Arabidopsis thaliana: one gene and its partner. The protein of the gene in region 1 binds, or shares a complex with, the protein of each later gene. Each region holds a gene or a part of one and is shown in the gene's direction. Other genes may lie near its edges.

Region 1 (10,219 bases):
GAATCAAGAAGACGCAACTGCAGAATCTAATAAGTAATAAATAATTAATTCATAAAGTTACCATCTTCAAACTATACACACAAAACAAGAATAGTTCATCATCATTCCTATTAAACAAGTTCACAAAAAAAAATTATGTACGATGAAATGAACTATTGAGATAGTAAATCTCTCAAGTAATCCAAAACACAACATGGTCCTGTCTGCATCTAAATCACACAAAAAAACTACAGTCAAATGTAAAATAAATGAACCTTAACTCAAGAAACTTTTACCATTTCTAGATTTTGGATAATCAAATTAGAAGGAAATCGTTAAATCAGGAATCTAAGAAATCAAACAGATCTAGCAAGAGTATATAGCAAAGCCATCTCTCTAACTACTTCTTCAGAATTCAAGCCGAGAAAAGCAACAGGAAAATTCAATAAGATTGTGTGCAGTGATTAATCATTATCTAACAATAAAGAATAACACGAACAGATACTCTCTAATTAAATATTAGAGAATCTACTAAGCTTTACAAAAAAAAATGTCCACGACAAAGATCAACGAGAAGATCCAAGGCGGTTTCACCTAATATTCAAGATTCAAGTCACAAGCGAATCCAAAATGCTACACTTCCAAAGACTGGTTTTCTCGACGAATTTTTGAGCCCTCTAAAGATTCAGAGCTAGTAAAAACAACACAAACTTCCAATAAAATTTTGAGTGGATTCAAGAAAACGACGCAAACTTCTGCGGAATCTGAAGAAGATGCGTCGGAGAAGTTCGAAGAAGCAAGATCCGGCGTAGGTTGAGAAACAAACAAAAAAAGACAAGAGCCAAGAGTTAGATAAAGATTTTGCTACGCCATTACTCTCATAAGCGAGCTTGGAATTTTTAAGTCCTATCAAAAAAATTGAAATGAAAATTTGGAGCAAGTTAGAAGCAGAAGAAGAGACGGAGACGTCCGCTGGGGAAGGAGGAAAAAGAATCTCACCAGCAACCAAAATTTATATTAGTAGTTCCTTCTAGTTACACTATTCTAGTGTTTTTTACTTTGCTTCAAAAACTATTTCCAATGATATGAGTAAAAGAACTTTTACCGGATTTTTAGTTTAGTTTCAGTTTGAGTTTTAAAGTAATGGTACGTTTCTCATTTAATACGATTGAGTTTAGAATTAAATTCGGTGTTTAACTATAAAAGGAATAGTTCTGTTTCAGTTTGGTTTTTACGGAATGAGTAGTACACAACTTAATAATAGCCTGGCTTGGCTTCACTCACGACTCACGAGATATAGTAGCGGCGGTGAAAGTAGCCAATACCTTTTTACTTTCATAGCTTGTAGAGTATTTGCAAGGAGCGTAATCACACTATAATCGGAAATTAATTAAAAAGTTAATGTCTTCTAAGAATATATGCATGTAGTTTATGCTTTGGTTATAATGTTATAAGGTGTTATTTATGATATTCCAATTTAAATTAAGAAATGAATGTATAACAACAGCTAGTGAAAGCTAATTTGGCAAGTTGTTGAGTGTTGTTGGGTGTTACGAGATGTCATGGACCTCCACTGTACTCTCAGTCTCCAGGAATAGCATCTCTTTCTTTCTCTATTTTTATTTTATTTTTTTATGTTTCCAGGACCACTTTAGTTTTATTTACTTTTCTCTAATGCAAAATGGTTCAAAAATCAGAAGAATATTTCATATCATACAAAATCTCTTGATTGAGAGCTTTAAATTTCTTTTTCTTAATAATTTTGGTACAAATATTATATGTTTATGTATGTGTAACTGTGTATGTTATGTTATTTTCGTACTAGTTTATATCAATAATTATCTATTGAGAGATCTAACGAAACATATCGATTGATTTTAATTTATTACATGTGATTACTGTGTATATAGTGACAAAATAATATTTATTCAATATTTTACAAACGTGTTAATTTATCTATATACGAAATTTTTAGATGTAAAATTTCTTTTTGTCGTTGTATAAAGAATTGTGTGCGTATAGTACTTTTAAAAATATATAATTGATTGAAATTTACTGAATTTTGTTTTGTCAAAGAAAGACATATAACTTTTTTCAAGACATTTCAAATGAATATATAACTTCAAAACTCTGAATGCTTCTATTTTGTTACTTTGTAATTATCAAAACAAGTTGGTATTAATTGTTTTTGTCATTTATACAATGAAAGTGAATTATTCTCTCTAATAATGTTGTTACAAAGCTGAGTAATACACTATGGACACTGAAGCCGGCTCACGAGCTAAGTACTCGACCACGTGAACCCATTTTAAAAACTGTGACTTCTTTAATAGAAACGCATGAATTCAATGAAACAGACATTTTCATTCACCAATTATATTTCGTTAGTTCCATTAATCTGTGGACCCACCAATGAGAAAAAAACGCTAATTGAAAACAATTAAAAACTCCATAAAATAAGCTCGAAGTTAATATCCATTGACTACACGACACGTGTGATAATTACCGGAGAAATTAACGTCGGGGAAACTGGCCGCCGCGTGGCATACAGATGCTGACAAATTCAGACGGGAACGGTGGTAGACACGTGGCAATAAAAGACAGGAGGAGCGTGGAGGGTGCTTGACCATTTATCGCCTTGGAATTTGAGACTTTTAAGGGGCAAAAACGGTAGCTCACAAGTCAACACTTTTGATAATCTTTTTGCCGTTTCGTATAATTCAATTCAAAAGTTAATGTTGATAACCACGTAAACACTTCTTAAACCGACCAAATAATATAATTAAAGATTTGATTGATTGATAAGCTTTTGTGTTTTCTTTTTCTGTTGTTGTGCGTGTCAACGTGTTGTACTCTCCGTAAACATTCATGGGCCTTTTCAAGTAACTGCTCAAGCTGGCCGATAGCAATTTAAAATAATCAATAAGCCCATATTGTTTTTGAATAGGCCCATGGCTTATTAGGGCAACATATAACGCTTTAACCACTTCGTCATGAAAAAACCCATACAACAACATGCAGCAACTAACATTCAACATAACTGTTTTCATTAGCATATAATGTACGAAAACATGCAACTTATCTCTATAAACTGTTAGATCATGTACTTAAAAATGCATAGATTAAACGTTTTCAATTTATCATAACATGTACCACACAAAAAAAGTAGCTAGAGCAGCTATTCATCTTATAGAATATATAGACGTATCTCACCTTCGCACTGCAGATCTTATACAAATCTTTTTAAGAAAATGAAAAAAGGGGGGCTAATCTCATATATTCTTCGAAGTCTTTTTGGGTTATTAAATAGCTTTAACCACCACATGTCATAAATAATTGTTGTTAGATACTTGTCTGATTCATGCCTTTTTTTTTGCGAGTCAAAGCTTTGTATACAACAAATGTGCTTCTTTGCTCTTTCGTCTCACTCCATTTAGTCAAAAATTCCATTTGTGATATAAAAATGAATAGATGAAACCTTGAAATATGTAATGAAACCGGTCTCGAGATGTGGTTAAAGCATATTTGTAATCAAAAATATATAATTAATGAAGAAAAACAAGTACGTTTTCGGACCACATCGGACCAGTAGAGGCACACAACCATACGGGTGTTGTGCCCACTTTTGACGACATTACCATCAGACCAAAGGAATATATGAAAGATACATAGAGAGAGATATGTTCTCGAACTAACTATTTCTTTTTTTACCCTCTTCTGATTATAATATTATTTTCCCGTTTTGCTGTTCTCTTCTACCAAACTTTCCTCTTATATCAAACTTTCAAATCGAATTCCTGAACTTTATATCACAGTCCTTATTTGTTTTCTCTTGCAACAAATGAATTTTTTTGTTATTGTTGAATAGTTATATTTTTAAATAAGTAGCTTTGACAGAATGTATATTTAATGTAGAATAGCAAATAAACTAGAAACAAGAACACATATAAGGGACATACTGGTCATTTCGAAAGTCAAAGCCAGAGGAGAAGCTACTATTTCTCCAACTGTCTGTAAACGAGGAATTTTTACAACCGCAAGTCAAAGGATTTAAAATAAGTAGTTATGGTTGTATCTGTCGTTCTTCTTTCTCTATGAACTAAAGGCCGTTGGAAGCAACACACACACACACACAGTGAAACACTACAGTTTACAGATTCGTTTTCTTTAGCTCAATCGAATTATATTATTTCTTAATCAGTCAATATTTAAATAATGGAGGATGATGATAAGTATTAAATAAATAATTATTCTAGGATTAATCAGACATGCGCAGTTATATAATAATCAGTTTGATTTTCTTTTCCTTTTCGAGCCCCTCTCTCTCTCACTCTTTTCTTTTCCGAGAACCCAACAAAAAAAAAGCTACTATTAATCCTTCCCCTCGTGAGGAAATCATTTCTTCTTGTTTCTCGAGATTTATTCTCTTTCTCTCTCTCTTTCTCTGTGTGTTTCGTGTCTTCAGATTAGTTCGATGTTTCGTTCAGACAAGGCGGAAAAAATGGATAAACGACGACGGAGACAGAGCAAAGCCAAGGCTTCTTGTTCCGAAGGTCTGATTTCTCTTTGTTTCTCTCTATATCTTTTTGATCGGTTTGAGTCTGATTTTGTATGTTTGTTTCGCAGAGGTGAGTAGTATCGAATGGGAAGCTGTGAAGATGTCAGAAGAAGAAGAAGATCTCATTTCTCGGATGTATAAACTCGTTGGCGACAGGTTAGAGACTCTTTCTCTCTCGATCCATCTTGTTGCTTTCTCTTTTTTTTGGTCTTTCATGTTTTGTCGAATCTGCTTAGATTTTGATCTCAAAGTCGGTCGTTTATTTATGCATTTTCTTGGTTTTTCTATTATATTATTGGGTCTAACTTACCGAGCTGTCAATGACTGTGTTCAGCCTGATTTTTGATCTTGTTATTATTCTCTGTTTTTTGTTTTAGTTGTTCAAATAGCAAAACCTAATCAAGATTTCGTTTTCAGTTTCTTTTTTTATATATGATTCTTTAGCAAAACATATTCTTAATTTATGTCAGAACTCACTTTGGCTAGTTTGGTTCAATTTTGATTACAGCATGTTTGTATGAAGTCAAAGTGTAAATTACGATTTTGGTTCGGTTCCATAGAATTTTAACCGAATTACAAACTTTATGCGGTTTTTATCGGAATAAAAGGTATTTGGTTAAGTGTAAGTTCCTCAACACTGACTGTTAGCCTATCCTACGTGGCGCGTAGGTGGGAGTTGATCGCCGGAAGGATCCCGGGACGGACGCCGGAGGAGATAGAGAGATATTGGCTTATGAAACACGGCGTCGTTTTTGCCAACAGACGAAGAGACTTTTTTAGGAAATGATTTTTTTTGTTTGGATTAAAAGAAAATTTTCCTCTCCTTAATTCACAAGACAAGAAAAAAAGGAAATGTACCTGTCCTTGAATTACTATTTTGGAATGTATAATTATCTATATATATAAGAAGAAAAAATTGCTTAGGAATTTCAAATTTTTACCAGCCTCCATCGACACATGATATATCCCTCTATAGAAGTATAGTATTAGTAGCTGTGATTTAATGAGATAAATCACACTTTTCTAAAGTCTGTTTTCCTAAGATCGACTGTAAATTTTAAATTTAACTATGTTCGCTATTTTATCCAAAAAAAAATTACTGTTGTTCTTTCATACAAACAAACAAAGGTGAAAGGTCTCTCTTATTTCTTCTGCATAGGGGAATGCTTAAACTGAACCCAAGATGGTTTATTTTTTCGTGATCGGAAATGAGAATCTGTAAGTGGCCTACGATATGGGTCAACGAGGTAGCTCATTTATATGGGCCATAAAGAAAGCCCATTATTAAGTTGAGACTTTTAAGATAAAATGTTTCCACGGTCAACGATTTTACAACAGTAGAGACACATGCATGCCGTTTAGATATTTGGTTTAAAACAATCATACCGTTTCACTGTATGTGTGGCCTAATGCAAGTGTATGCAACTGTTATTATTTTTTGTTTTGCTTGCTTATTTTTGAATAGCTTCTGTTACCTGCCAAAAAAAATACCACGATCATTACGAATTATCCATCCCAATGCTAAAAAAATTTGTTGGTAATGAAGCGGAATTAGGGATCATCCCATATGATATTAATTGTTGTTCCTCTGTTGTAACATTGTTTCATTCTCTTGTATTCACTAAAGAAAATAAAGATTCAGTAGCGTCATCGAATATATAAAATGCAAAGTTTCCTTTTATTCAATCAAGGAAGCATATATATCTACCCTTTGTGCCCATCCTTTTTAATTCTTTGGATTGAATATAAAGATTCAAAACTATACGATTAATGACGTGGTAAAATTTACGATTAGTTCCAAAAATTCCCTGATCTCTCATTGTTTATTATCATTTTATCTCCCCCGTTACACATGCAATTGCAAACTACATATATCCATATGCTACAGTATTAACTAAGTTTGTGGCCAAGATTTTTTTTTCTTGCGCATAGCAACGCTGAGAAATCCGACAACTTTAATCTAAAAGACAAATACAATGAAAGTGTTAAGATGTTTTCACACGTGCTTATCATCTAACAGGACTTTCTGCGTTCACACTTGGCGTGACTAACACTTTGATTTTTTTCAATTGCATTTGGCTGAAATATGAGCTTAATTTCTATATAAACTCTTCCAGTACCAAACAAATTCAAACTCATATGCTGTTTGGTTTCAATGTGTTTTTTGGTACTTAGCTTATCTTAAAAATCTATTTAACAAAAAAATGATTGTTTTCTATCTGTCCTGTATGGTCCCAGACACTACTATCTTGTCAAATTGAGTATTATTTAAAGTGTTTTTCATCACATAACCTAAGAAAATAATTCTATTTTTATTTTTATTTTATGAATTTATTCTATAAAATTTTCATTGGCCAACATACTAAAACAGTAAAAACAAAAAATAGAAATTTTATCAAATACATGCATTGAAACATAAATGACAGTTAAACAGCTTAAAATGACACTTTTTATAAACATATTTCAAATTCTGAAATGACGCTTAAATTGAAACAGAGAATATCAATCAAGACCAGTAATTTCAACAAATTCACATGTAGATGTAACTTACTAAATACCCTTAATTAAATTCTATTAAGGCGTAAGAGTTTTTATTAGTCTCAAAAGTAATTTTATTGTACAAATTAAATTTAATCAGCATATGAAGTGACATGTGGGTCTCTGTATAAGGAGAGTTATATCTTTTTCAACACGCACCCAAAGTCCAAAGACCTTTCGTGGAAATTACCAGACAGTTTCCAAAACTAAATGTAGATTTTTATTTTTGTTCAAAGAATATTTCATCGGTGTAGGTTTATTTTGGTAAATATTCCAAAAGTTTCAATAACGTTTATCCATCCCATCGATAAGAAGATATTGTGTTTGAAAGTTTTCTTTCCTTACGATACCATAACATGTACGGAGTTATAATTTTGATGTTTTTTTTTTGTATTTTGCTCTAAAGCATTTACACCACAATCCTGTTAATACAAGATAATCTTATTAAATTATGGTTGGACATGAAGGTAATAACAACTGCTCTCATTTGACAGCATTCTGTTAAGTGTTAATCGTCTTTCTTGAGTTTTTCGTCAAGCTATGATCTTATCATTTCGATGTTGATATCTAGCCGATGTAAATAAGTTAAAGACCATTCTGGTAACGGTGGACTAATGCATGCATTAACAAGGGAATGTTCTTTACATAAACAAAAGCAGATGATAAGACATCATTTGATTTGAGAAGAAGTTGAAAACATATTGTTCAATTTATAATCGTTAGTTGTTATCAATTCAAAGCAAGCTAAGAGCAGCCCAAATTAAGATAATAAACCCTTATGGCACTAATTAATCATAGATAGTCCATACATGCTTGAATAATTATTTACTAAGTGTGATTAAAGCTATTATTTTTATCACAAAAGGCATGTGCATGTATATACGCCACTCGGGCATTTTACTGAATTTAGTTTTAGTCATAAATTATTCCCTTGACCAGACGCGTTAAACAAGCGACGCGTCGTAGAATAAATATTTATCTTCAAAAGAATTTATATTATTTTTCTACTAGTATTAAGGAATTAATTAAGTTCGACTCAGCACAGCAGCCTCTAAAATATATTAATTTGGAGTCAGAAAGCTACAAAGTTGATAACTGAGAAACATAGGATATAGTACTACAGTAACGTGGATATATCAATATATTATCTACGATATTCACAATTTTTAAACTGAAGAATTCAGTACGATGAATATGGCAAATGCATAAGGTTAGATTTCATCTAAATTCACACAAAATTTGTTTGTTCGACGAACAAAATTTGAATACATAATGGCCACGATGCTCTGCCATTAATCATGGATGTAAGCGCCATGATTAAAAATTTCATTTTACGATTTTTAAGGTAAATCGTTATGATACGGAGTATATCATTATTAATAAATAATAAAACAGTTTGTATTCCTTTAAATTCTTTTTTTTGTTTACTAATTATGACTTAATATAGTATTACTTTATAAAATCACTGTTTTAAATTTTATTAAATGCATTTATTCCGTATTATATATTAACTGTGTTTTTGTTTTTTTTTTTAATTTTTGGTAAAGTACTAACTGTGTTTTTTTCTGTATCCTTCTGTAGTTCTGTTCGATTCTATTAAAAACCTATATACATTGGTGAATAGAATACTACAACATATATGGATGATGGATCATAGTGATTACGAATTTAAATCATATTAATAATTAATGATAATACGTCACTGTCAATTGTGTGAATGAAAAAGACACATTGGTATATTTTCTCAAAACTACACCTGCATGGTTTGATACTTTTTTGATTTGATCCATAGATTCTTGATTTGCTTGTTAGGGCCACTAAAATTTGATTAATTTCGATCTTTGACCCCCTAAAAATATAACTAACTACATAATCAACATCCTATATAAAAAAATGGTTGATAAAATATATGTAAATCGAGTATAGAGTATATATATGCAAATACATGCAATAAATGACTATATATTGGTAATTTAAAATAAATAACTCTTTTGTTGTAAATAAAACCCATAATTTAGCTACCTTAAAACTACAATTTAAAATTCGAAATAACGCAATAATTGGGCAATTTATGACATCACGAGTCTTCACGTCAGCGAAACAAAAGAAAGACATTCAATTTCAACCGAATCTAACGCGGCAGGACGTCTTTGAAGAATATTGTTTATTGGTTCACTCGTCTGAATAACTATAACTTTAATTATTATTTGTTAGTTTTTGTAGATAAAATAGGATTAGCTTAACCGACTTAGTGAGACTCACCATATATGGGTTCTATTAAGATTGGGGAGTTAGTTGACGATTTATAGATAACTTGATATGATCATTAGTCTGTCTAATATATAAAAATTATAGACCGAAAATAATAAGATAAGAATTATAGTTGCTTAATAGGTATGGAATTAGCAACTACATTTTTTTTTTATCAGAAACGAGTAACCCCTAGACTAAAACATTCCAATTTTATTTGTAATATTTTAAGACAAATTTAGCAGTTTTATACTATTTTATATATTCTAGCAATATAAAAAAAGAGTGAAACACTAATAGTCTCCTTTATGTCAATTTCTCTCCAAGATCCTTCTCTTTTCCACACAACTTCTGGTCGAAGATTGAAACCAATAATAAATACAAAAATAAAAATTAATACTTATTGTCTAAGCACAAGGACGAGTACCATCATAGAATCTCCATCATTCATGTCTATAAATACATCTAGATACTCACAGACGAAACTCACATCTCCCACCAATCTCACTCAAAAGAAAATCTAAGAAAAGATTCTTAATTTTCTGAAGTGAATGCAAAGATGATGATGGAAGAGAAACTTGTGATCAACGAATTGGAACTAGGGAAAGAGCTTGCTAACCGATTGATGAACAATCTCAAACACACTTCTTCTGTCGATTCCAACAAAACCTTGATCTCTGATATCCTCCGTATTTACCAGAATGCCATTTTCATGTTGAGCTTCAACCAAGACAAGAACATCCTTAAGCGAAGCCTTGAGATCGATGGAAAAGATTCTAAAAACGTCTTCAAAAAGAGGTAAATTGAGCTAAAAGATTGGTTTTTTGTCTCTCTTTCAGTTCCAAACTGTGCTCATGTGTCTGATTCCTCTGTTTTTTTTTTTGGTGATTTTCA
Region 2 (12,447 bases), on another chromosome or scaffold:
ATCCAGCATGTCAAACAGTGACCTAGTAGGAGCATTCTGCCAAAGAAATGCCATTTGAATCAGAAACAGAGTCAATAGCTAAGAGGTTGGAAACAATTTACTAAAACTATGTTAGAAAACTTTACTCGTAAACTGTTGGATTTAAGTAAATCCGAAATTTTAGCATCAGACATATCAATCTCAGATCCTTCCTTCGACTGGAATCCATCAGTAAAGTTGCGGTCATCTCCTCTTGAATCTGAGTGGTCCTCTGGCAAGCTCCATCTCCTCCTCGCAGCTAGTGAGTTCTTATCATAACTACCATCGGAAAAACTGGCTTTAAGCGCCTTCAGGGACTGTAAAACTGGCACCATATCCCCCTGGTTTTTACTTTTTATTAGGATTCATAACTCAATAGAGAAACACAAAAGAGGACAGAGAGAAGAAAAGATATGGGAGCAGAAATCATGCAAGCTTATCATCAAAATAGCAAGTCAGACAAAAACCATGATCAGAAAAGTGTTGCACCCAGAAGTGTTTAAAACGAGGCTAATTTTAATCTAAACATATGCCTACACAGAATTGGTTCGACTCATTAAAGGAAAAGTGGCAATACGACAACCACTTCATCTATATGACATGGATAATTCTATGTAAACCAGCATGTCTTTCCATATTTAAGAAATCAACTTTTTCCACAGAAATGAAGAATAATATCCATGAAAACATAACAGACCTGTTCTATATCTGAAACTTCGAACCTAGGCAGGGCCATTTCATCCATAGCAGTCAGAAACCGCTCAATTTTTACACTGGCAGGCTCAAAGCTGCCTCCCTATAGAATAACCAAAGAGGATTAGTCAAAAAAAGGAGGGTTTGACAAAAAAAAAAGGGGTTAGTCTAGCAGCAGATAAGTAAGTGAAATGGTCATGAAAATTCGTAAGTACCATTCTCATTGACCCAGGACTAAGCTGATTTAAAAGGCTACACAAGACAGTTCCATCCCTCAAGCATGCTCTCAGTTCGTCCTCTGAAGCTTCCCATGGTAACTTCAGATAAGGAAGTGTCTCATTTAACCACTCAACCAAACTCTGATGACCTGCGGGAAAAATTAAGAAGAAATAGACAAAGAATGAGAAGAAAAAACATCTAACCATTTCCCCTACACCTAATATGAGAGGCGATTTTTAAGGTTCATTTCTGCAACGGCTCTGTTGCAATATAACAAACCATGTAAAGCAAGAGAAATCGACTCATTCAAGATAATCAATTATACTTTTCCATATTCGCTAATCATTCGAATAATCCTGTCATAACTCAATTTCTGAAAGATAACTGTTTCGATCTTTAGATGAAATGAGAGGATATTAGCGTTCGAAAAGATAAACAGCAAACAAGGGAGTAGATAACGTTACCTTTCTTACTGTCATCCATACTTTCGCGACTTTCTGATCCGTCAAAACTCAGCATGCTAGACACATCTGATCGAACATAGACACCATTCATATTGGCGTCCTGTGACAGATGACTGCTCATTTCAACTCAGAGATTACGCGACTCCCAGAATTATAGTAGCGAGAAGACCCTAAAGCAAATGAACCAATTAGCCAACAACAAAGTTAGCATCAATGTTAATTGGTTTCACATATACTTCCTAATTCCTAATCCATGGTTAAATCATGAAAGACCTTACTTCATCATTCTACACCAAATCCTCATATGGTAAAATACCTATCAAATGCTTTCAATTTCAGATAAGACTAGTTCCCCAATTAAAGAGATAAACAGCCAAAATTTGCTTTAAATTGTAAACAATGATGAAGTTTGTTCAAACATTTCAACATCTCGCTTAGCAAATATCCACAATGTCGACCAAATCAACCCATAAAATCAGCTCTATATTCCACCAAAATCACGCAGATCCAGTCAAAAACCCTAAGAAGCCAACAACGCTTTTGTAACACAGAGACGAAGGCCAAAAAAAAAAAAAACGATACGAACCTAAAACGCCATAAGGAGAAGAAGAAGCTTGTAGATAAACCTCTCTATAGTGTAGACGACGGAGAATGAAGACTGCTCCTATTGAAATGCTACGGAAAAAAAAAACTCAGATTCACGGCGAGAAATTGGAGGCGGAAGTTTGAATCCCTCGCCGGAAGAGAAAAAAATTCGAAATTTTTCCCAGTCGCACGATTTTGCTCACTGTTCCTCCTTTTTTTCCTCTCTTTTATTTCTTTTAGATTCCAAGAAAAACAAAAGGCTAATTACGGTTCGAATTTCGAAAAAAGAGAAAATTATGTTTTTTTCCTAATTGTTTGATTTTGATTTTGCTTTACGCTATATGGTCTTGGTGGGCCCTACCCTCGTTATAGAAAATTAGAAATAAGGTACTCTCTCGACTTCCCGCTTTTTCCCATCCAAAATTCAGTTTGGAGATATTTCAACTTTTCATATACGACCCAATATAGTTTCGGCCCATTTGAGCCCAAATATTGAAGGCCCGGACTAACTGGATCGGATGTCCATCAAACATTTGAACTAGTATGCCTAATCTTAGCTACTCTATTCAAATAAATATGATCTGTTTATTATATAATGCAGTATATAGTTTAGAGATGTTGGATTTCAGAATTTTATTATAGAAACAAATAGATACTTAATTCGGTTTTTTTATAACTTGAATCATATCGTTAAACATCGAATTCCACCATTAAATAATAATGGACATTGGAAAATATGTGTTAGCTTATACATAAGCCTATTTTTATGATTAAATTCAGTAAAATTTTTGTTAAAATGATTTCAGATTAAGGATAACTAATAATTTATAAACAAAAATAAAAGATAATCAATTTTAGCTTCGTGATCATTAATCAGGTCAGAGAACGAAAGAATATCTTCGGATCTGTTCGAGCTTAGAGTTTATACCACAACAAAGTTGGATTGCCCTGATTGACACATACGTAGATAGTGTATATATATTGCCATGTGCATATTTCTATTTTTGCCATGTTCATGCGTGGCTCCACTATGATCATCCATAGAACGTGGAAAATAGTGGTGGTATAAAATAATGAATTAAAATAAATAAATTTTAATGAGATAAAAAGCAAGAGAATGTGGTTAATTACAACATCATATCATATGTAGTAGGTCGTAATATTGATCGAATCATGAATTCATAATTTGTTTATGACCATACACGTGGTCAATAATTTTAACGGAATTCAATTTGTCAAACAACCCTGACTACGTACCTAGCTGTTTTTCAATATCCTTAATTCATTCTAGTGAAAAAGATTGAGTTAATTAAATAGTTGCATATATCTCTTATGCAAAAAAAACATTTGATAACGAACAAGTTGTATTTTAGTATCTATTGCTTGTTTTAGACGTATAAACGAATTTTAGTTACATTGTGCTTACATTTTCATATTTTGATCAGTTTCTTGTTTTTTTTTTGTGTGTGTGTGTGTCAATTTTATCTAACTACCGTAAATCAAAATGTTTGGTTGATGGAACATAGCTAAAAATCCGAAACTACTGAATAGAATCTAAGTTAAACACGTATATATATATATATATATGTAATATGTGAATTCAAATGGAAATCTATTGTTTGTGTACGTATACGTAAAAAGACAATCTATTTTATGATGGAAAAAGACAATATATATAAGACAATGACAGAAGATCCAACATACAGGCATTACGTGAGAGGTCCCATTCAAAGTGACTCTGAATTCTTAGGCACTTTCAATAATTCGAATTTATACAGGTCTCAGAATTATAAGCAAAGCTTATTGAATGGGTTAAAGGAATTAATTTAGATATGAATTTTGGTTGGTTTTATAATTTATGATGGAATCAAAATCATAGAGAGTGGCTCGCGCTGACAAAGTTATTAATGCTAAATTAAATAAACTGGACCCCAAAAAATGGACTGTTCGATCACTCTTTTTTTTTTTTATCAACAGTAGACTCTGTTCCGTGCAATTAATGCGAGCATCTCTTTCATTTTACTTTTTCAATATTTTGTTTTTATTTCTATTGTGTGAAGAATTTATTTATATTTTCAGTCTCGATAAAACAATGCATCATCATCTGCGGCGTTAGATATTATAATGAAAGATTTATTAGTTGTGTACTAGCTAATGGTTAATATGTCATATGTGTAACAAAATGAGGTGTATATTTAGTTTGTTTTTTTGTTTTTTTGTTTTTTGTCCAATGCATTAGAAGTACTGTCCAGAATTGTAGTATTTCACTACATTTTTATAGTCAAATTATATATATTAAGCAAAAGTCAAAATGACCCTTTTTGAGCTGAGAGCCGGAGACTATAGGCTACAGAATCTAATGTTTGCGTGTGTTCACGATGACCACAGTGTAACTAGATGACATATCTTTTAGGAAAGTAACGAAAAAAATAATCAGCAAAGAAAAACTATTTAAGAAATTACTGAAAACACAGACGTTCACGTTGATATAAATGTACAAATCTTCATTTATCAGGTTATTATGTTTTATGAATCATACAGTTAGTACATGAAATAAACAATATCTGACTCCGTTTTTCAACGTACAGACACGACAAGTAGTCCTAGTTAGGGGTGATAATTTTGGGAGATGCGAAGAATTAATTAAGAGCATGCACATAGCATATGATAATAATGACTCTTGGTTTCTTCTTTATTAATCATCTCATTTAAATATCATTTTCTCGTGATTTTGATCAACATAGGTTGTTACATAGCTAAACCCATTATCAATCCCTTACCTTAGAATTGAAGTCAAGGAAGAATACTAAACCTTACATTATCTTTAGATCCCAAATTCACTCGTTCTTGATAACCTTATTGTCTAACTCCATATATAATTGGCTCGTGTACGCATCTTTAATACAAATAATTTACGAGGTTGCGATTAATTAAAATGAAGGTGCATAGAAAATTAATTAGCAATTATACAAATGTTCTATGGTATTTCCGAAGATTCGAAAACAATGTAGAATATATATATTCAATGAACATAGTATATATTATATTTTAGTTAAACCATACAACGTAATTTAGTCAATACTAGAAGCTTGTCTCTCTCTCCAGGGTATCTCCTCGAGGCATAACATTAATTTCATGTCTTTCTTCGTGTTTCACCATTAGGATTTGTTCTATCTTAAAATCAAGTTAATATTTGTGTATATATTTGACCAGTAAGGCAGTAACATATAAACATTGCTTATAAGGGTGGCAAATTGGTTTGGTTGGATTTGTAAGTGTTATGCCTATGAATTTTTTTTTTGGTTCAAACTCTGCTTAAAGTCTAAAGACCTATATTATGAGTTACTAAAAAAAGTTATTTCCTCCGTTTCAAAATATAAGATGTTTTAAATAAAAATATAAAAATTAAAAAATCAAAATATAAGATGTTTTAATTAAAAATATAAAAATTAAAAAATATTTTTTAAAAAATTCAGCAGATTATAAAAGCTGATGCATAATATAAATATGTATACAATATTAAATTAATCTATAATTTACATAAAAACTTGAAAATATTTTATATTGTGAAACAAACAAATTTCTTCAGAACATCGTTTATCATGAAACGTAGAGAATAGGACATATCATTGATAGAAAAAAGATTTTAGAGATGGAAAAATAACTAATTTCTCTTAACAAAAATAAATTTCCAAAAGGAGAGTGGTGCTTGGAACACCGTATTCAAAAGGGTTATACACTAGACACTACTTTTTTTTTTTTTTACCATCTTGTTTTATATATATTTATTTAAAATTCCTCGTAAAGTTCAGTGTTTTGTGATTATATACAGTGTACACACACCTAAAATAAGTATCCATAAAGAGATTTGGTCATTCGGACACCGTCCTTTTCTCTCAACTCAAAGCTCAATTCAACCACAACAGATAGTAACTTGAAAGTCACAAATATTTAATATTTTCCCATTATAGAAGGTTAAAAAAAATAAATATATTCTGGGTTTTGTTGTCTTCTTCTTTCTTCCTCAGGAAACCAAACCAATGTCATGTAAAAATCACTAACTCATGACTAGTCATAACCTTTAAATCACTTCTGCTTTTTTTCTGTTTCTCTTTTGATTTATTCAAAGACAACAAAGTTTTGTTTTTGACAAAAAATCTGATCTTTGTTTGTTCGTTTGTTTGTTACATGGGGATGAAGAAACAATGGCAACCGGAGAAAACAGAACGGTGCCGGACAATCTAAAGAAACAGCTCGCAGTTTCAGTTCGAAACATTCAATGGAGTTATGGAATCTTCTGGTCTGTCTCTGCTTCTCAACCAGGGTACAATCTCGTAATCTTTATCCTTCAAATTAACTTTTCTTGAAAATAAAGTTTTGTTTGAGACATTCTTGACTTTAGTCCAAAACTCAGATAAAACTTTATCCTTACTTCAAGATTTCGATTTTTGTTATGTTTTCTCGATTAATCCAATTTTTCTTGGCTATCTTTTTTGTTTTCTCTAAACGAAGAGTGTTGGAGTGGGGAGATGGATATTACAATGGAGACATAAAGACAAGGAAGACGATTCAAGCAGCAGAAGTCAAAATTGACCAGTTAGGTCTTGAGAGAAGTGAGCAGCTTAGAGAGCTTTATGAATCTCTCTCCCTCGCTGAATCCTCAGCTTCCGGTAGCTCTCAGGTCACTAGACGAGCTTCCGCCGCCGCTCTCTCACCGGAGGACCTCACCGACACCGAGTGGTACTACTTAGTATGCATGTCTTTCGTCTTCAACATCGGTGAAGGGTAATTCCGTCTCTTCCTCATAATCCTTTCATTTCACCTTTTTTAAAAACAAAAACCTATCTTTCAGAAAAATTTCTTTTATGAAGAATATCGTTTTTAAATTATAGTATTATTTTATTCGTAGACATTATAAGAAAATGTAAACGATACCAAAATTCTAAAAAAAAAGTATAAGGGTATGTTTTATTTTGTCTCATAAAAAAAGACAAGAACACCCTTTATTAGCTTGTCTCCTTCATTTCTTCTTCCATGTGAGCTTATTCAGAAATCCGACATGTACGAGTTTAATTATTAACAATGCAATTATCCTTTATATTTACTTAATTTTTTTTATGTTTGTAGGTTTTTTTAAAGTATACCTCTTTTTAATCTTAGAAGACATACATAGATAGAAATGCGAAAGCACAACGGAAATAAGTTTTTACTTCATTTGCATAATTGCATTATACATTTGCTATTCAAAGAAAGTAGTAGAAAACTTTTGTTCCCATTAAGATAAAGATTTTGAGATACAAAACATAAAGGGTATTTCCGTCTTTCTAATGTAGAATCCCCGGAGGAGCGTTATCCAATGGAGAACCAATATGGCTTTGTAACGCTGAAACCGCCGATAGCAAAGTCTTCACTCGTTCTCTTCTAGCTAAAGTAAGTTTTTTGCAATTGGAAACGCTAACGCTAGAATTCAAGAACGCTATAACTGAAAACGCTCTTTTTTTTTTTTTTTTTCGTTTGGCGTTTTGCTCTTTAAAGAGTGCTTCGCTTCAGACAGTGGTTTGCTTCCCGTTTCTTGGAGGAGTCCTTGAGATTGGCACGACCGAACATGTAAGCCTATATTTCCTATTTTTTTTCCAACACTATCAAAACATTCTTAAAAGTACCCAAAACTTATCTTTTGTTCTTTTAGATTAAAGAGGACATGAACGTGATACAAAGTGTTAAGACGTTGTTCCTTGAAGCTCCTCCATATACTACAATATCGACAAGATCAGACTATCAAGAAATTTTTGATCCCTTAAGTGACGATAAATACACTCCGGTGTTTATAACCGAAGCTTTTCCAACAACTTCTACTAGCGGGTTTGAGCAAGAACCTGAGGATCATGATTCGTTCATCAACGATGGTGGTGCGTCTCAGGTACAAAGCTGGCAGTTTGTGGGTGAAGAAATCAGTAACTGCATTCACCAATCGTTAAATTCAAGCGATTGCGTTTCCCAAACGTTTGTTGGAACAACCGGGAGACTTGCTTGCGATCCAAGGAAGAGTAGGATTCAACGGTTAGGTCAGATTCAAGAACAGAGTAACCATGTAAATATGGACGACGATGTTCATTACCAAGGCGTGATATCGACGATTTTCAAAACAACGCATCAGCTAATACTCGGACCGCAGTTTCAGAACTTCGATAAGCGGTCTAGCTTCACAAGGTGGAAGCGATCATCATCTGTGAAAACATTGGGAGAGAAATCGCAGAAGATGATAAAGAAGATACTCTTCGAGGTTCCTTTGATGAACAAGAAAGAAGAGTTGTTACCGGACACACCAGAGGAAACCGGGAACCATGCCTTGTCCGAGAAGAAACGCCGCGAGAAATTGAATGAACGGTTTATGACATTGAGATCAATCATTCCCTCAATTAGTAAGGTAACCGATTCTAGCAAATCTGTTTCAGTAACGTTTTATGTTTATTTCTTGATAATAGGAAGACATGTTTAAATATAATGCTCTGAAGGAACTAAGCTTGAGTCTCTTGCTGATTCTACAGATTGATAAAGTGTCGATTCTTGATGATACAATTGAGTATCTTCAAGATTTACAGAAACGGGTTCAAGAGTTGGAATCTTGTAGAGAATCTGCTGATACAGAGACACGGATAACGATGATGAAGAGGAAGAAACCGGATGATGAGGAGGAAAGAGCATCAGCGAATTGTATGAACAGCAAAAGGAAGGGGAGTGATGTGAATGTAGGAGAAGATGAACCAGCTGATATCGGTTATGCTGGTCTAACGGATAACTTAAGGATCAGTTCATTAGGTAACGAGGTGGTTATTGAGCTTAGATGCGCTTGGAGAGAAGGGATATTGCTTGAGATAATGGATGTGATTAGTGATCTCAACTTGGATTCTCACTCGGTTCAGTCGTCAACCGGAGACGGTTTACTCTGCTTAACTGTCAATTGCAAGGTACAGTCATTAAACCAAGCTTGATTTATGTTACTCAACCGGAATATGAGCAAACCGAAATGTGATATGTAATGTTTAATGTTGATTGCAGCATAAAGGGACAAAAATAGCAACAACAGGAATGATCCAAGAGGCACTTCAAAGGGTTGCATGGATATGTTAAGGATTCAAGGTTTAGATTTGACAAAATTAGCTTTTTCTCTGGTTTGGTTTCCCAATTTTCGGTAATCAGTGATTCTAACCGAGTTTTTGTGATTTTGAAGTTTTGGAAGATCCTTAAGAATTCTTGAAAAATCGTTCCTTTTGGCTCATTACGTAGGAGAAGACAATAAGAAATTACTTACTTAGCAATTAGCATACTATGAAATTCAATTATGCGAAATATGAAAACCACTCGTAGTAGTTCGTGCACTATCATTTTTAAAAGTAAGTAAACTAGAACTTTTTTTTTGTTGTTGAAAGTAACTTTTGTATAAGTATTTGTAACGAGATCATATTTTGTGACTAGTTCAAGTTCGACCAAAAACATTATAGTAAAATCTAAAGAGATACTACATAGCCCGATTCCAGTATCTTAAGTCTTCAATCTCACTTCAAATATTCTTTATATGTTTTTAGAAAAGTTATGTAAGAAATTAAAAAAATATTTTTAGAAAAGTTAAAGATAGAAATGGTGGTCAAAAGCTGATAAAAGTGTTCGCAAAATACACTGCCTTATAGAGAAAAGAAGTAATGTCATTTCAAATAATTGCATCTAACGCCACTGAGATCTCACTTCAACATGTGTTACCATTTTAACATTAACTTTTTATTTCAAAAAGAAAGGAAGAAAATTGTAAGCACAAGGACTATACTGTATTTGGATTTCGTTTGGTAGCATCAAAGTAACACTCTCATTTTAGTAAGAGGTTAACTTTATTGAAAATACACATAATGTGGGGTTAGAAATTGTGTTGAACAATTTCTTGATTTAGAACGAAACTTAAAAAGAGTGGAAATTCTTTAATGGGTTGGTTGGCATGGTAGGTGGCCATTAAGAAGATCCATGAATTGGTGAAGTTGAGGTTTATATCATGTATTAGCCTCGGTATATAGTGTGTAAACCTTGATATTTAGTATGTAGAAGTATGACTATAGCTTGTATAAGCGCGGCCATATCTGAACTCAGATTTTGCTTATATGAATCTGGCTACAAGAAGCATTTGTAAATATGGTAGTTGCAAACTTTCACCTGCAATATGTATAAAGCTTAGGTAGAAGTGCACAACACAGTAATCTAAGTACATAATGAAGCCTCTTATATTGTGTAAACACAGGTAGATAATAATGCACTGAGTCCCTTTTTCGATTATCCACCCAAATTGTATGCAAGTTTTTGGTATGATTTGTATCACCATCATCATTGCTCATCTAGTTCATCAGAAAACCATTGTCTACTAATAATAGTAATAATAAGCACCGTCACAAATTCACCATCATTGTTTGATGATAATCTATTTTACATGGTAGAAGAATTGCAGACACCCATAAATAAAAGACTCAGTATATGTTTTCTTTATTCCCATTCGATGGTTGAAGGAGGCTTTGATGTAATGTCTAGAACCACACGGTTTACTCCTTGAACGCTGTTACAGATTTTCCGGGAAACATCGTCCAGAAACTTGTGCTCAAAATTGAACCTGCAGTTTATTTAAACATTACCAATCTCAGCCAAAGTCACAATATAAACTAGCGTTTTCATTTGCACCGCAAGTTTTCTAGTCAACAAAAATTGCACCAATAAAAGTAAGATTTGATACACATACTTGTTATCCCTTAGAATCAAGGTACCTCTATTTGTACTCAGATCAGATAACGAGTCTTAAATATTGCAACACAGCAAGTAATTACTGTTTAACTTTTACTATCCGATCTATTTAACCGGTTTTAGACATCCTAGATACCTAAATACATGACTTTAAACACTCCAACACCTAAGCTAATCTGTCCTGAAATCTCAACCACCCAAGTACTCAGACCTAAAATACCACATGGTAGATCTAAACCTCAAGTATTCACATCAACACAGTAATAAGTTCACGATCAAAAGGGTTTCTATATGCATCGGTACTAGGAAGTGTAAGAAGCTTACCAATCTGCGGTCATTCCATCTTGGCTTGTAACTGCACGAAGAGCAACAACATGAGAATGTGTTCTCTTGTCACCTTGGACTCCAACTGATCTTACAGGCAAGAACACTGCGAAAGCTTGCCAGATCGAATCATAGAGACCCGCATCTCTGATTGATTGAATGAATATCTCATCAACCTGAGAAGATGGGAAAATAAAGATGAGTTTGGTAAATGGGTAAGGGCACAACCAAAAAAATTATACAGCCAGTTTGAGATTTTAGAGCACTAGCCTGACGAAGAACCTCAAGGGCGTTTCCTTGGGTGACATCGCCCAAGACTCTAACTGCGAGTCCTGGACCGGGGAATGGGTGACGCTTCAAGAACCCTACCGGCACATTCAAGATTCTTCCGAGCTCACGAACCTTTATTGCACAAAAATCAAGTGAAAGATCACAAACCAAACACTCAACAGTTGCAGACAAGAAAGATAGCAAAAAGACAATAGTAACACACCTCATCTTTGAAGAGAAGCTTGAGGGGTTCGATGAGCTTCAATTTCATGTCTTTAGGGAGTCCTCCAACATTATGGTGACTTTTGATGGTGTGAGAATGAGTCCTATCAGTACCCGGGGGAGGGCACGACTCAATCACATCAGGGTACAGAGTCCCTTGAACTAGAAAAGCGGGTTTCTTCCCATGCTTTTTCTCTAACTCTTGGGCAAATTGATCAAAAATGTTGATGAACTCCCTCCCGATTATCTTTCTCTTTGTCTCGGGATCCACAACGCCTTTAAGTTCACTCAAAAACCGCTCGGATGCATCAACACAAGTAACAGGTAGATGCAAGTCTCTCTCAAAGGTATCCATCACACGTTCTTGCTCCTTATACCTACAAAAGGAACCATTCTCAATTAAAGAAAAAACAAATTAAAAGTGCATATCAAATTGAAAAATTGCTTCTTCTCTAACCTTAATAGCCCGTTATCAACAAAGATGCAATGAAGCCTATCTCCAATTGCCTTGTGAACAAGAGTTGCGGCAACAGTAGAGTCTACACCTCCTGACAAGGCGCAAATGACATGTTCGTCAGATGCAACGGTTTTGTTAATCACTTTGATCTCTTCTTCCATCAGATCTTCCATTTTCCAATCCGCAGATACTCCACACACATCAAAGAGGAAATGCCGAAGTGTCTCCATTCCTTTTGGTGAATGTGTCACCTGCAAAATCCAACAAAAAGCTATTTCGTCATAAGCTAGAAATCAACACTTAACCAGCACATCATTTACAGACGTTCACGAGTAATTCTCAATCAATGGACTAACAAAACATCAACTAGAAGTACTATATTCACTAAATATCCAATCCAAACTATGATACTACATCAAA

The links.
Region 2: the proteins of CPC (region 1) and EGL3 are in contact, whole or in part, in a crystal structure (PDB 7FDO), measured with the Arabidopsis thaliana proteins. Residues at the interface, in NP_182164.1 of Arabidopsis thaliana: Glu41 (codon at 4,647), Glu42 (codon at 4,650), Leu45 (codon at 4,659), Arg48 (codon at 4,668), Met49 (codon at 4,671), Lys51 (codon at 4,677), Leu52 (codon at 4,680), Val53 (codon at 4,683), Arg56 (codon at 4,692), Leu59 (codon at 5,214), Gly62 (codon at 5,223), Arg63 (codon at 5,226), Pro65 (codon at 5,232); in NP_001185302.1 of Arabidopsis thaliana: Tyr81 (codon at 6,613), Leu84 (codon at 6,622), Ser85 (codon at 6,625), Pro108 (codon at 6,694), Glu109 (codon at 6,697), Asp113 (codon at 6,709), Trp116 (codon at 6,718), Leu119 (codon at 6,727), Val120 (codon at 6,730), Ser123 (codon at 6,739), Phe124 (codon at 6,742), Ser153 (codon at 7,377), Leu160 (codon at 7,398), Leu161 (codon at 7,401), Lys163 (codon at 7,407), Ser164 (codon at 7,515).

The regions. Positions count from the first base shown.
Region 1 is NC_003071.7:19,044,420-19,054,638, reverse strand, and holds CPC (Homeodomain-like superfamily protein), read left to right. Parts: upstream 1-4,269; 5' UTR 4,270-4,453; coding exon 4,454-4,532; intron 4,533-4,605; coding exon 4,606-4,693; intron 4,694-5,206; coding exon 5,207-5,324; 3' UTR 5,325-5,618; downstream 5,619-10,219. Other genes in the region: WRKY46 (WRKY DNA-binding protein 46), read left to right, coding at 9,885-10,123. UniProt on the Arabidopsis thaliana protein: Transcription factor. Determines the fate of epidermal cell differentiation. Represses trichome development by lateral inhibition.
Region 2 is NC_003070.9:23,593,625-23,606,071, forward strand, and holds EGL3 (basic helix-loop-helix (bHLH) DNA-binding superfamily protein), read left to right. Parts: upstream 1-5,788; 5' UTR 5,789-6,026; exon of another isoform or gene 6,027-6,179; 5' UTR 6,180-6,184; coding exon 6,185-6,303; intron 6,304-6,491; coding exon 6,492-6,764; intron 6,765-7,312; coding exon 7,313-7,409; intron 7,410-7,514; coding exon 7,515-7,586; intron 7,587-7,668; coding exon 7,669-8,406; intron 8,407-8,527; coding exon 8,528-8,947; intron 8,948-9,038; coding exon 9,039-9,110; 3' UTR 9,111-9,540; downstream 9,541-12,447. Other genes in the region: AT1G63640 (P-loop nucleoside triphosphate hydrolases superfamily protein with CH (Calponin Homology) domain-containing protein), read right to left, coding at 1-36, 126-359, 716-814, 927-1,078, 1,395-1,515; AT1G63660 (GMP synthase (glutamine-hydrolyzing), putative / glutamine amidotransferase), read right to left, coding at 10,503-10,626, 11,079-11,254, 11,349-11,480, 11,572-11,947, 12,028-12,278. UniProt on the Arabidopsis thaliana protein: Transcription activator, when associated with MYB75/PAP1, MYB90/PAP2 or TT2. Involved in epidermal cell fate specification. Negatively regulates stomata formation but promotes trichome formation.